2 linked regions of the Oryctolagus cuniculus genome follow. The protein of the gene in region 2 binds, or shares a complex with, the protein of the main gene of each other region. Links are inferred from orthologs where the notes say so. Each region holds a gene or a part of one and is shown on either strand. Other genes may lie near its edges.

Evidence for each region.
Region 1: the proteins of OPRK1 (region 2) and PDYN are in contact, whole or in part, in a cryo-EM structure (PDB 8F7W), measured with the Homo sapiens proteins. The link is inferred for Oryctolagus cuniculus from reciprocal best matches to the Homo sapiens genes OPRK1 and PDYN. Residues at the interface, in NP_000903.2 of Homo sapiens: Thr111, Gln115, Trp124, Val134, Ile135, Asp138, Tyr139, Met142, Lys200, Glu209, Cys210, Asp216, Tyr219, Lys227, Val230, Phe293, Ile294, Glu297, His304, Ala308, Leu309, Tyr312, Tyr313, Ile316, Tyr320; in NP_001177821.1 of Homo sapiens: Tyr207, Gly208, Gly209, Phe210, Leu211, Arg212, Arg213, Ile214.

The regions. Positions count from the first base shown.
Region 1 is NC_091442.1:27,670,071-27,676,038, forward strand, and holds part of PDYN (proenkephalin-B), read right to left. Parts: intron 2,002-5,968; 5' UTR 1,983-2,001; coding exon 1,860-1,982; intron 655-1,859; coding exon 25-654; 3' UTR 1-24.
Region 2 is NC_091437.1:78,044,606-78,050,573, forward strand, and holds part of OPRK1 (kappa-type opioid receptor), read right to left. Parts: intron 3,156-5,968; coding exon 2,803-3,155; intron 1-2,802. UniProt on the Homo sapiens protein: G-protein coupled opioid receptor that functions as a receptor for endogenous alpha-neoendorphins and dynorphins, but has low affinity for beta-endorphins.

The DNA of each region.
Region 1 (5,968 bases), on a different chromosome or scaffold from region 2:
CTCAACTCCGTGCTGGGGAGGTGTTTATGCATCGAACAGCTCTTCAGAGTAGGCATCGGGGTCCTCCTGAGACCGGGTCACCACCTTGAACTGGCGCCGGAGAAAACCCCCGTAGCGCTTCTGGTTGTCCCACTTGAGCTTGGGACGGATGCGCCGCAGGAAGCCCCCGTAGCGTTTGTACAGGTCCTCGTGGCCCACCCTCTCCCCCTCCCCAGCTGCTTCCGAGCTCCTCTTGGGGTACTTGCGCAAAAAGCCGCCATAGCGTTTGACCTGCACCTTGGGGTCCTCCTCTTGGAAATCGAGGCCACCTGCCTCCACAGCGCTGTTGTGCAGCTGAGCACCCCCCGTGAGTTCAGATTCTGCTCCCTCCCCAAGCCCACCCGAGAGGCCCCTGAGTTTCTCTTCCAGGCTCTGGCTCAGAGTGTTTTCCTTTGTTGGGGTATTGGGGAAGAACTGCCTTGTCTCCAGCTCCTGCAGCAAGGGCCCTGTGAGCTTGGCCAGCTCACTATAGGGCTCTTCCAAAGCCACCTTGCTCTCCACGTCTTCATTGCCATTGAGCTGGAGAGTGGAGGGGGTGAGGAAAGACAGAAAGCCCTGGCATCTCTCCCATTCCTCAGAGGGCAGCAGGGCAGCCTGGCATTCCAGGGAGCAGATCTGCAAAAGACCCCAGAGACCACAGCGGTAACATCACCCCCATCAAACCATGCAACCCTGCACGTCCCCACCCTGGAGCCCTCTGTCAGATGCCTGAGAAGATCCGAATGAACCACATTGCTAAGCACTGAGATACCCATTGGTGCATCAAGATAGGTGGCTGTGTGACCATGTGAGGGTGGAGAAAACAAATTTGCAAAAGGACAACAGTGTTCCCAAGGGCACAAGCACAGGTGCAATGCCTGGAGTAGAACCCAGAGCCCATCAAACTCTGAGATCACCCTGCCTCTTCCAGGGCAGTGAGTGGTTCTCCCTACCCTTCCCAGGTGTCAAGAATGCTGGTCACACGGTGGAGAGAGGCACAAAGGGACACAGAATGGTAGAAAGCACGCAGGTGAGGGCACATGTGTGGGTTCCTCGAGCCTGGGGCTAGGGAGACAATAGTACCTACTTCATAGGATTGCTGGGAGAATTGAATTGTGGTGGTGATGAGACGACATTGGTATTGGCCAAGGTGCCCAGTCCTGGAACATGAACCCAGGCAGTCCAGTGCCATGAGTTGTCCTGCTTTCCTGAGAGCATGTTTGGGCAGCCTCTCAGTTAGCAGGGGCTAGAATTGTATATTGAGTACTTTCCATCACGATCTTAGGGAAGCACCCCCCATTTTGTAGATGATGAAACCGAGGTTCAGAGAGGGAGTTCCAGGGTCATGGGGCAAGCAAGGGTCAGGACCAAAGCCTGTGCTGTGTCCACTACATCCTTGGAAACTCTACCCCGCCCTTCTGGTGGGAGCCTGATTCAGAGCAGAGCTAACGAGGCTGGGTCGACAGATGCTAAGACTCAGGAGAGAGGTCAGGCTTTGACCCTGCCAGGCAGGTCATTCGGGGGTGGTGGACACAGTGCCTGCCACAAGAGCGACAGGAGGGGCCCATCAGCCCAGCGCTGAGAAGCCCTGGAAGTTCATCTAGGGCTGCTGTGTGCAGAAGCCAGCAGCTCATGACTGGCACTCCTAGTTGCCAGGCACCAGGCTCCATGGAAACCTGCAACATGGCCTGGGTGAGGTCTGGGGTGGGAATGGGAGCTGGACAATGGCAGCCCCCAGAGCCCAGGCTGTCCACAGGGCAGAACAAGCCCTGCCTGGTGGGCCAGTCTCCAAGACAGGCACAGCTGCCCAGGCCTGTGACCTCTCCTTGCCTGCAACGCACCAGGGGGTTGATGGGCTTGGGTCCATCCTGGGTCTTCACAGCACACAAGGAACACCGGGACAGGCAGTCTGCTGTGGCCGAAGGGAGCGCGAGGAGGCAGGCAAGCAGCACCGGCCACGCCATTCTGTCTCCGCTCTTGCAGCTGGGGAGGGAGACAGAGAAGATTATGGAGTTTGCCATCACCACCCTGGGGTGTGTCCTGAGCCCGTGCACTCGGTTCTTAACCTCCTGCTAGCAGTGCCGCAAGGCCTCCCTCGTGGGCCCAGCCTATAGCTGAGAAAGCAGAGGCCCGGAGAGGTGGAGTGGGTGCCCAAGGCCGGGGATGGAGGGAGGGAAGTGCCGAGGGCTGAGTGCCTGCCCCGTGCTGGGAGCTTCCCCGTGCGCTCGCGCTCAGCCTGCTCTTCGAGGTGCGCTGTGCTGTCTTCATTGCAAGCTGGGGAAGCTGAGGCTCAGAGATGCGGAGGTGACTGCACGTGCCCAGGAAGTGGGCGAGCCAGGACCTGACCTGGGCCTTGTCGGACCTCAGAGCCCACACCAACATCCGCCAAGCCAGGACATCATCGGCCGCATCCTCGCCTGGGCTCTCCGAGGCCCCCTGCTCCCCAAGCTGTCCCAGGCCAGTCCTCTCTGCTTTGTAAAGTCTTGGGATTTGCCTTCTGTACCCCAGCACCGCTACTGCCCTGGCCGTGGGTCCTCCTTGCCCGCCTCTCCATGCCGGCCTCCCTGCCTCCAGTCCCTCCCTGACCTTCCTGCCCGCCCCGAAATGCCCTTGGCAGCCTAACAGTTTTGTGATCAGAGCCCTTGGGAAGGGCCAGGACTGGCTGTTCTGCTTAAATGTCAAGAACACCCCCAGTCTCATCCTTGCACCCCAATACTTTAGCTCTGGGCTCCAACCGCATTTAGCTACTTGCAGTCCCCCAAATGATTGCAGCAGGCTCTGTCTCACCCTGGGCCTCTGCATACACTGGAAAACCTGTCCCGCCTCTTCTGTCTGTCACTGCAATTAGATGAAACTCTCGCTTCCTCCAGGCAGTTCTCCCTGATCTCTTAGGAGGGCTGAGCTGCTCCTATTCCACACCCTGCAGCTCTTCCAAGAAAACCACCCACAGCCTGGTGCTGAGCTGTGTGCACCTTTGGACTTTGGTTCTACAAAGACAGGCACCATGGTTTTTCTTCTCTGTAATCCTTGCTTGCTCCTACTTCAGGGCCTTTGCACATTCTGCTCCCCTGTCTGCAGTCCTGTGACCTCAGATTTTCATGTGGTTCACTCCTTCGTACCCGTTAAGCAGATCAATTACCCCATCAGCAGAGAAGCACCCACCGCTGCCTGAGTCTAACGTGGCTGCCTCCTTCCGTCCCTCTCACCTCAGTCCCCGCCCCACAGCTTCCCATCAACTTGATTTCTGCTGCTGGCAGTGGTGGTGGTGGCCATGGAAGCCCCCATGAGAATGTTAGCTTCTCAAAGGCACGGGTCCTGCCTTGTCCCCTGCTGCACCCTAGCATCTAAGTCCCTGACCAACGCAGAGTAGGTCCTCCGTAAACATGTGGCAGATGAATGCAGGCTTCACAGTCTGTTAAAAGTTGCCCCTTTTAGGCCGGCGCTATGGCTCACTAGGCTAATCCTCCGCCTGCGGCGCCAGCACACCGGGTTCTAGTCCTGGTCAGGGCGCCGGATTCTGTCCTGGTTGCCCCTCTTCCAGGCCAGCTCTCTGCTGTGGCCAGGGAGTGCAGTGGAGGATGGCCCAAGTCCTTGGGCCCTGCACCCGCATGGGAGAAAAGGAGAAGCACCTGGCTCCTGGCTTCAGATCAGCGCAGTGCGCCGGCTGCAGCGGCCATTGGGGGGTGAACCAACGGCAAAGGAAGACCTCTCTCTCTCTCTCTCTCACTGTCCACTCTGCCTGTCAAAAAAAAAAAAAAAGTTGCCCCTTTCCTGTTCAACTCTTTATAAATCCTTTATCAAGATTCAAATGGGACATATGCTGTTCTCCCAACAGGGAGGGCAGGGTCCCAGCAAGGCCCCCGCCCCCTGGCTGCTGGGGCCCCGTGCCCTCCCAGTCTGGTCTGTGTAGCCGGACGCCCCTAACTCAGAGATGGCCGTTTCTCCTTCCCTCCAGGGTCCCCGTTCCTGCAATCTGTCCTGTTTACTCAGGTACTCAGGGGTTCAGAAGATTCCAGCCCACCTGCCCAGAGCCCCACACTGTTGTCCAGAGCAAGGTCTCCCCTCCAAAGCGCAAGTAGGGTCCCTGACTGGAGCATGCGCAGGAACGACCCTGTCGCCATTTGTTGAGCCCGTACTGCCCAAGCCCCCAGGGGGCACTGTCGCATTTACTGCTCCCCCGTTAGGTAGGCGGGTCTCACGCTGGGAGACACCTGCCTGGGTGACTCCCCACCTACTGGCTCTGACTTCCGGAGAGACTTTGGGTCATTACCAGCTCAGCCCCACTGAGATCCAGGAGCCCTCGGCTTGTACATTTTACTCAATCCACTGCCAGTGGCCTGAGGTGGGTGAGAATGCTGGGGCTCGGAGGGGCTTGGCCAATCCCCCGGGGTCACACAGTGATTTAGGGGAGAGCTCAGGCCCGTGAGCCTCCCTTGAGTCTGGACAACATCAGCTCCATGGAACAGAGAGGCTCCGAGTAGGAAGCTCAGGGCAAGAGACCTGCGTCTGCCTGGGGTCTCTCTCTTGCCCTTGGCTTTCACCCTTGCTGCACCTGCTGCTGAGCCGAGGAGGGTTTCAGGCCAGCGAGCTACCGTGGAGACGGACAGCAGGCGGCTTGTGTTTTCTCTGATGTTGGCGATGCCTGGGACAGCCTGGGATGAGTCTGGTGGTGATGGGAGGGCATTTGGTGCCGCAGCACAGACACTGCGTGGGACACCCACACCCACATCACAGCACCTGCTCTGCGTCCCAGCTCCTCTGCTTCCCAGCCGGCTTCCTGCTAATGTACACCCTGGGAGGGGAGGAGGCCGGTGACGGTGCGAGCGCTGGGGCCCCTACCACCCATGTGGGGGATCCTGATTGAGTTCCTGGCTCCTGGCTTCAGCCTGGCCGAGCCCTGGCTTTTGTGGGCATGTCTCTCTGTCTCATTGCCTTTCAAATAAAATGAAAAAAAGGAAAGATTGGGTTAGCAGTGAATGAACCCACAAGACCTGGGAAGCCTGCTCCAGCCACTAACTCCGGCAGGAGGCCTCCCACACGGCTTGTCTGTTTCTGTAGGAGACCCAGTCTGAGATCTCCAGTCCAGGTAAAAACAATTGTGGGCAACTTTTCCTTTCATCTGTTAAGTCTGTCTATAGCAACAATTCCAGCAGATCTGGGTATCGGGTAAGAGGTTCCGAGCAATCTCATGCCTTAATTCACTTCTACTCGCAGCAACTCAATGGAGAGAATACTATTACCATACCCAATTTACAGATGAAGAAACTGAGGTAAGACGCCAGCCAAGACTCCAAAGCAAGCAAGCAGCGATGCTGGGGTCTGTGACCAGATAGTCTGGCTGAAGGGGCCTGAACCTCTGCGTGCCGGCCAGACCCCTTCAGTTGCCCAGCTCCGACCTCCAGCTGCTCCCCGCAGGTTTCCACACTAGCCCCCACCAGGTGGAAGGCCTGCTGGGCACCAGGCTGGGCTGAGCGCCCCTCATTCCTCCAATCTGGAAGCAGCCACCAGTTCTCAGGAGCCTGCTGGGTGCCAGCCAGCCCTGGCCACTTTGTGCATTTTTAGTTCCGAATCCTCACAGTCATACAAGAGATGGGTGTTCTTATACCCATTGTGCAGAGGGGTGAGACTGAGGCTGGGAGAGGGAAACTCGCAGGTTCAAGCTTGTGCCTGGGAGAGTCGGGCTCCTGATAAGCAGCTTCCTCTGTGTTAAAAAGGAAGCTGTACTAGAGACACAGGCTTGAGGCTTCCCCAAGCGATCCTGTCTCTCTCTTTTTTAAGAGTACATCATCGAGCAATACCAGATGGGTCCCGGGTGCAGGTTCACCTTTCTGAGGGCACCTGCTGAGGACTGGAGCTTGGAAGCCAGACGTTGGCGATGGCCGACTTGGGGTGAGCCGGGGGGCGGGGGAGTGGACGCACGCCCACTCGGCAGGCCCGAGGGGCCCTGGCA
Region 2 (5,968 bases):
TGGAAAATAAGTCCACTTTAATTTCCTCCCATTTTCCTCTCTGTTTTGCTGCACAAATTAATCTTCTTCCCAAACTGGTGGAGCTTTTCTCCCATTGCATCTGCACACATTTATCTATAACGACTCCTTCCTGGAAAAGCCACATCTTCATTTCCTCTTTCAAAAGCATAATTGAAATCCATTTACTCTAAGATGTCATTTTCTGACAATGATTAGAAGGAATGTAGTGATTAAGTCTACCAGTGAAATATGAAATGTAAAAATCAGCTCTTCATTTGTCCTAGGACGATCATCTTTATTCTTCAGCCCATTCCCCTCATGCTCACAGTGGATATGCAGCATCTCCTCTCCAATTGGAGTTGTTACACACAAACACCTAGGTCTCTAAAGAGTTCCATGCAGTTTGTTTTCATTTTTCGTAGGTATGAGGAAACAAATCCTGCATGTGATTAATCATATTTGAAAATGTTTATCTGATAGAGAAAGTTGGGCATTTCTTGAAAGTTACCAAATATTATAGCTTATTATCTGCTGTGGCTCTGCTGGAAACTCATTTAATAGTTTCAAAAGAAACAGATCATGCCACATTAAAAAACAAAGGATACAAGAGGTGGAGATTTGGTCTAAGGTTAAAATGCTGCTTGGAACACCAGTATCACATATTGGAGTGCCTGGGTTGAGTCTTGACTGATCCTGATTCTATCTTCTGCTAATGCATATCCTGGGAGGCAGCAGGTAATGGCTCAGACAGTTGGGTACTTGTCACCTATATGAGAGCAGGATTGAGGTTCTGGCTCCTGGCTTTAGCCTGATCCAGTCACAGCTGCTGCAGGCATTTGGGGGAATGAACCAATATACAGGAGTTCCCTGTCTCTTCCTCTTTGTGTTTCAAATGAATTAATTAATAAGAAAGAAAGAAAGAAAGAAAGAAAGAAAGAAAGAAAGAAAGAAAGAAAGAAAGAAAGAAAGAAAGAAAGAAAGAAAGAGAAAGAAAAGAAGGAAGGAAGGAAGGAAGGAAGGAAGGAAGGAAGGAAGGAAGGAAGGAAGGAAGGAAGGAAGGAAGGAAGGAAGGGGATTTTTTTAGGAAAAGGATACGTGTCATCATACATGTGTACAAACCCACAGAATGTATAGCCCCAAAAGTGAACCCCAGTATAAACTCTGGGTGATAATGTGTCATTGTCATTCATCAGTTTTAATAAATGTCCTACTCTGGTGGGAGACATTGATAGTCATGGAGACTGTGCATGTGTGAGAGTGGGAGCTATAGGGAAACTCTATACTTTCTATCCAACTTTGCCATGAACCTAAAGCTGCTCTAAAAATTTGTCTATAAAAACCATGCATCGGCCGGCGCCGTGGCTCACTTGGTTACTTCGCCTGTAGCACCAGCATCCCATATGGGCACCAGGTTCTAGTGTTGGTTGCTCCTCTTCCAGGGCAGCTCTCTGCTGTGGCCCGGGAGGGCAGTGGAGGATGGCCCAAGTGCTTGGGCCCCTGCACAAGCATGGGAGACCAGGAGGAAGCACCTGGCTCCTGGCTTCAGATCAGCGTGGCGTTGGCCATAGCGGCCATTTGCGGGGGTGAACCAATGGAAGCAAGACCTTTCTCTCTGTCTCTCTCTCTCTCACTGTCTAACTCTATCTGTCAAAAACAAAGAAAAGAAAAACATGCATCATGAAAAATAAGCTATGATTTTAGTGCCAGCCCTTTTACTGTTACCTGAAAAGTTCTCACCGCACATATTCAATTTTCTGTTCTCACAAGTATCATGAATATCCCCAATAAACTGGAGCATTTAGACTCCTGTTGGAGCCCCCAAATAATATTATAAAGTCCAGAGTGACTGTTCTACTCCCCTCCCCCCAAGTGAATTTCTATTAGAAACAGAGATATGTCCATAGTTTTCTCTCTTTCTAGTAAAGTAAAATCCTAGAACAGTAGTTCTTATCTTGGATGCAGGCCAGAGTCATATGATGACATATTAAATGTCCTGACATCCATGCCACACTAGTTAAACCAGACCCTCCAGGGGCTGGACTCCAATAGCAGTGTTTTCTAAAGTATCTAAAGGGATTTCAATGTGCAGTCCAGAATAAGAACTACAGGGAGAACATCAATCATCCTATTTCCATGAGGCAAGAACAAATATGTCCAAAACAGAATGATGTTGCCCATCTATGGGTAACATCAACTTTTGAAGCTGGCTTTGAATGACCTACAGACAAACAACAAGACAGTGGTGTGGAGAAATTCTTTTAGGAAAAGGAAACAAGAACCTGAATAAGCATCTAATGAGTTAGGTTCCTCGTTACAGAGAATGAAAAGGAGTGAGAAGTTGTGCCTGGAATCTCTAGGTTGTGTTCCAAAAGTGCAACCTTATTTACTTGGTCTTCACCCCTCCAGACTCTGAGAAGCACTTCCAGAACAGAAGAGCCGAGCGCCTGTGTTCTCGTGTTGTCCATATCCTACTCTGTGTTCAGAGGAGGGAGAGACACAAAATCGATGTGTTTTCCATCTTCACAGGTGTAGGGGTTCTACGATGGGTCCTCAAAAGTTTTGTGGAAAAAATGTATTATTAAAAAAGAAACAATGCATGAATTTCAAAATATGTTTGCACCAAACTAAACTTGCCTTTCAATTCAAATTTTCCGTGAACTGTTTTCAACTACGCTTGTATTTACATAACTCCTTCCCACTCTCTTTTGACTTTTTTCTTTAGTTGTGCTCTGTTCACTTCTGAATTAAGTCTGTATGGTCAGAAGTCATTTTCACAAACAGGGTGAAAATGAGAGCACTCACCTTCCCTAACTTTGGTGCCTCCGAGGACTATCGCGGATATGCCAACAGAGGATGACAGCAGCCAAATGCAGATATTGATCATCTTGGCCTTCAAGGGCGTGCGGAAGTCCAAAGCCTTCACAGGGTGGCACACAGCGATGTAGCGGTCTACACTCATCATGGTCAGGGTGAAGATGCTGGTGAACATGTTGTAGTAGTCGATGGAAATGACTATCTTGCACAGCACATCTCCAAATGGCCAGGAATTCATCAGATAGACTGTGCTCTGGAAGGGCATGGTTGTAGTAACTAGAGCATCTGCCAAAGCCAGGTTAAATATGTAAATGTTGGTGGCAGTCTTCATTTTTGTGTATCTAAAAGACAAGAGACAATAGCATTTTCCTCTATCCTCATGTAAAACCCATAAAGTAAATAGCTTTGGATTATTGTCTTTACTTTTTCATTCACTTATCCTTTACATGTTCACTGAGTGTCTAACATGTAAAATAACTGTTCTAGACATTTAGGGTAATAAGAAAAAAGATCTATGACTTTATTTAGCTTTTATTCTAGGACTTTGTTCAAAAATATTTAAATTAAAAAGACATGGAACTGGTTCTGCTGTTTGAGATGCAGGCATCCTACATGCGAGTGCTGGATGGTGTCCCAGCTGCTCTGCTTGGGATCCAGATTCCTGCTAATGTTCCTGGGAAGGCAGCACAAGAAGGCTTAAGGTTTTTGGCCCCTGCCCCTCATCTTATTTGGAAGACCTGCTTGGAGTTCCTGGCTCATGGCTTTGGCATAGCTCAGTCCTGCTTGTTGTAGATACTTGGGGATTGAACCAGCATATGGGGGACTCTGTCTCTCTCTCTTCTTCTCCCTCCTCCTTTCTCTGTCACTCTGCCTTTAAAAGAAGTACACCATTTTTAAGTCAAACAAGATAACATAGATAGATACATAGTTGAATATGCAGAAAGATCCTTTCAACAGACTTGCATGTAATGTACATTTTATTTTGTGGATTACAATTCATTTTGACCCAATGTTGCTCAACTTCAAGCATTTTTAAATACCTTTTTTGCTTTCTTTTGTGTAAGACAATAATAAAACATTTTTTCCTCAGGGTTAGTTTGGAAAATCAATCATTACAACTATAATGTTTTTTAATGCAAATAGTTTTCAATTTTTAAGTGTATAAAATTTCAGTGGCTAAAATACAATTAGGTATATTGATTTTTGTTTGCTACTGTGCCACTGGTTTGTAATTTAAAATGTATTACCTAAACAAAACAGCCTGAGTTCTTCTTATAGCTGTCATAGCACTAAATGTAGTCCAGTAGAGTAGGTGAGAAATAATTCTATCTTTCTTTACTCTTGAGAAATTTTTTAAAAAGAGAAATTTTTAAAATATATCATTTGTCTCATCTTTCTTTGGAAGGTACAGTAATTTTCAAGGTGGATCAGAAAGATTCTTTATAAACTCGAATCATTCTTTCCATTATAACATGAAGTTTAGAACACTTTTCCACCGAAACTGAATTAAAAGGATGGCTTTGTTTAGAGAATGCTTCCTCTGAGATCTATAGAGCTTAAACATTCCAGACTATACCATCAGATTTTCAGAGGTCAAGAACCAAAGTATGTTGGAAAAATCATTATGTTAATTACTTCCTAAATAATTCGGGTTTGTAGACTTTATCATAATTAATTCATCTATGTCCATTCAACACAGAAATTTCCATGTAAAGAACACTTCCCATTTACTGAAAGCGCATCCCTGGCTCCTCTTGGAGGCAGTGTGGTTTAATGTGAAGTCTAACAGTGCTGAGCCGAAATTCAATATATGACTAATTCGTTAAATAAGGACATTAAAACCTAACCTGCAGTACATGATATCCAGGCAGTAGATGGCCTAACCCAAAGTATCTTACCCACAGTATTACACTTTGCCCTCAGCACCCACTAACCCTTCCTTTCCATCCAAGTTTCCCCTTTTCTTCCTCTCTCCTTGTCAGGAAGTGGATGTGTTTGTGATGAGATGGGAAGGCACTGAAACTGAGTCAGGTTGGGAAGATGCCTCATTCAGCCAAACCCCTCCCAACTTGCTTGTATCTACCTCCAGCTCCAAACCAATCAGGAGCATTCATACTCTAACCACCATAAAAGACTCCTTATGCCTAATTAGTGACTTCCTCAGCCAGCTTACAAGCCCACAATAGCCCTGTGAGACCCATATATAATCTTCTTAGGTGGCAGTAGTGAGCAACACTGTCAATTTGAGTGTGTTGTGAAGCAACTGCACCTACACAGAACATGGAGCTGAGTTCAAACTGAAGAACTGTATGCAAAAGAATACAAGGCAGAAACAGAAAAAGCACAGTCACTCCTCCCCAGAACAATAAAAATTCCTGTTCAATTCCCACTGGGGAGCCAGTACCATGCTGTCTCCATTGTGTGGGAGCACAAGCCTCCAGCAAACCTTGTCTGGGTTACATGTTGGTCTCTTGTCAATTCAATGAAAAGGCAGCCAAAGAACTTTGGTCAATATCAAAAACACAGGTATTGGAGTGAGGAGTGAGGAGCTTATGTAAAAATATATTTTGACTGTACATATTTTATTTACACATTATTAAATGACCCATAAGTTTTAAAAAGTGACTTGATAAGTATGGCCAAGTGTCACAGCATAGACTTTCAAAATGCATAGGTATACCTAAGCAAGTGTAGTTACTGCAAAAGAAGTAAATGCTTCTGAGAGACATTGAAAAATGCTACTCAGAAATTATCTTCTTAAATATGTAGTTTTATGTTTGAAAAATACATTTTATAAAACTTATCTTCTACTCTTTCAACTTCCTCCAAATAAAAATCTAGCAAAGATTCCAACAGGCAATATCTTTCCTATCACATCTCATATTTTGTGGCCCTGATATCCCCTCTTTCTTTATGAAGTTATGTTGGCATTCTTTGCTTTATAAAGTCAGGCAGACTTGGGTTCTAGTCCTCATTTTTCCATCCATTGAATGGGTAGACTTTAGAGAGGCCACTAGCCATCCTAAAATCTCAGTTTCTCCAAATGTAAAGTGGAAAATATAATGCTTATCTCATAGAGTTCCAAAGATAATGAACTACAGTTGAGCCATAGAATATGCCTGATATATTTCATTTTCTCATGTGGAGGGGAGCT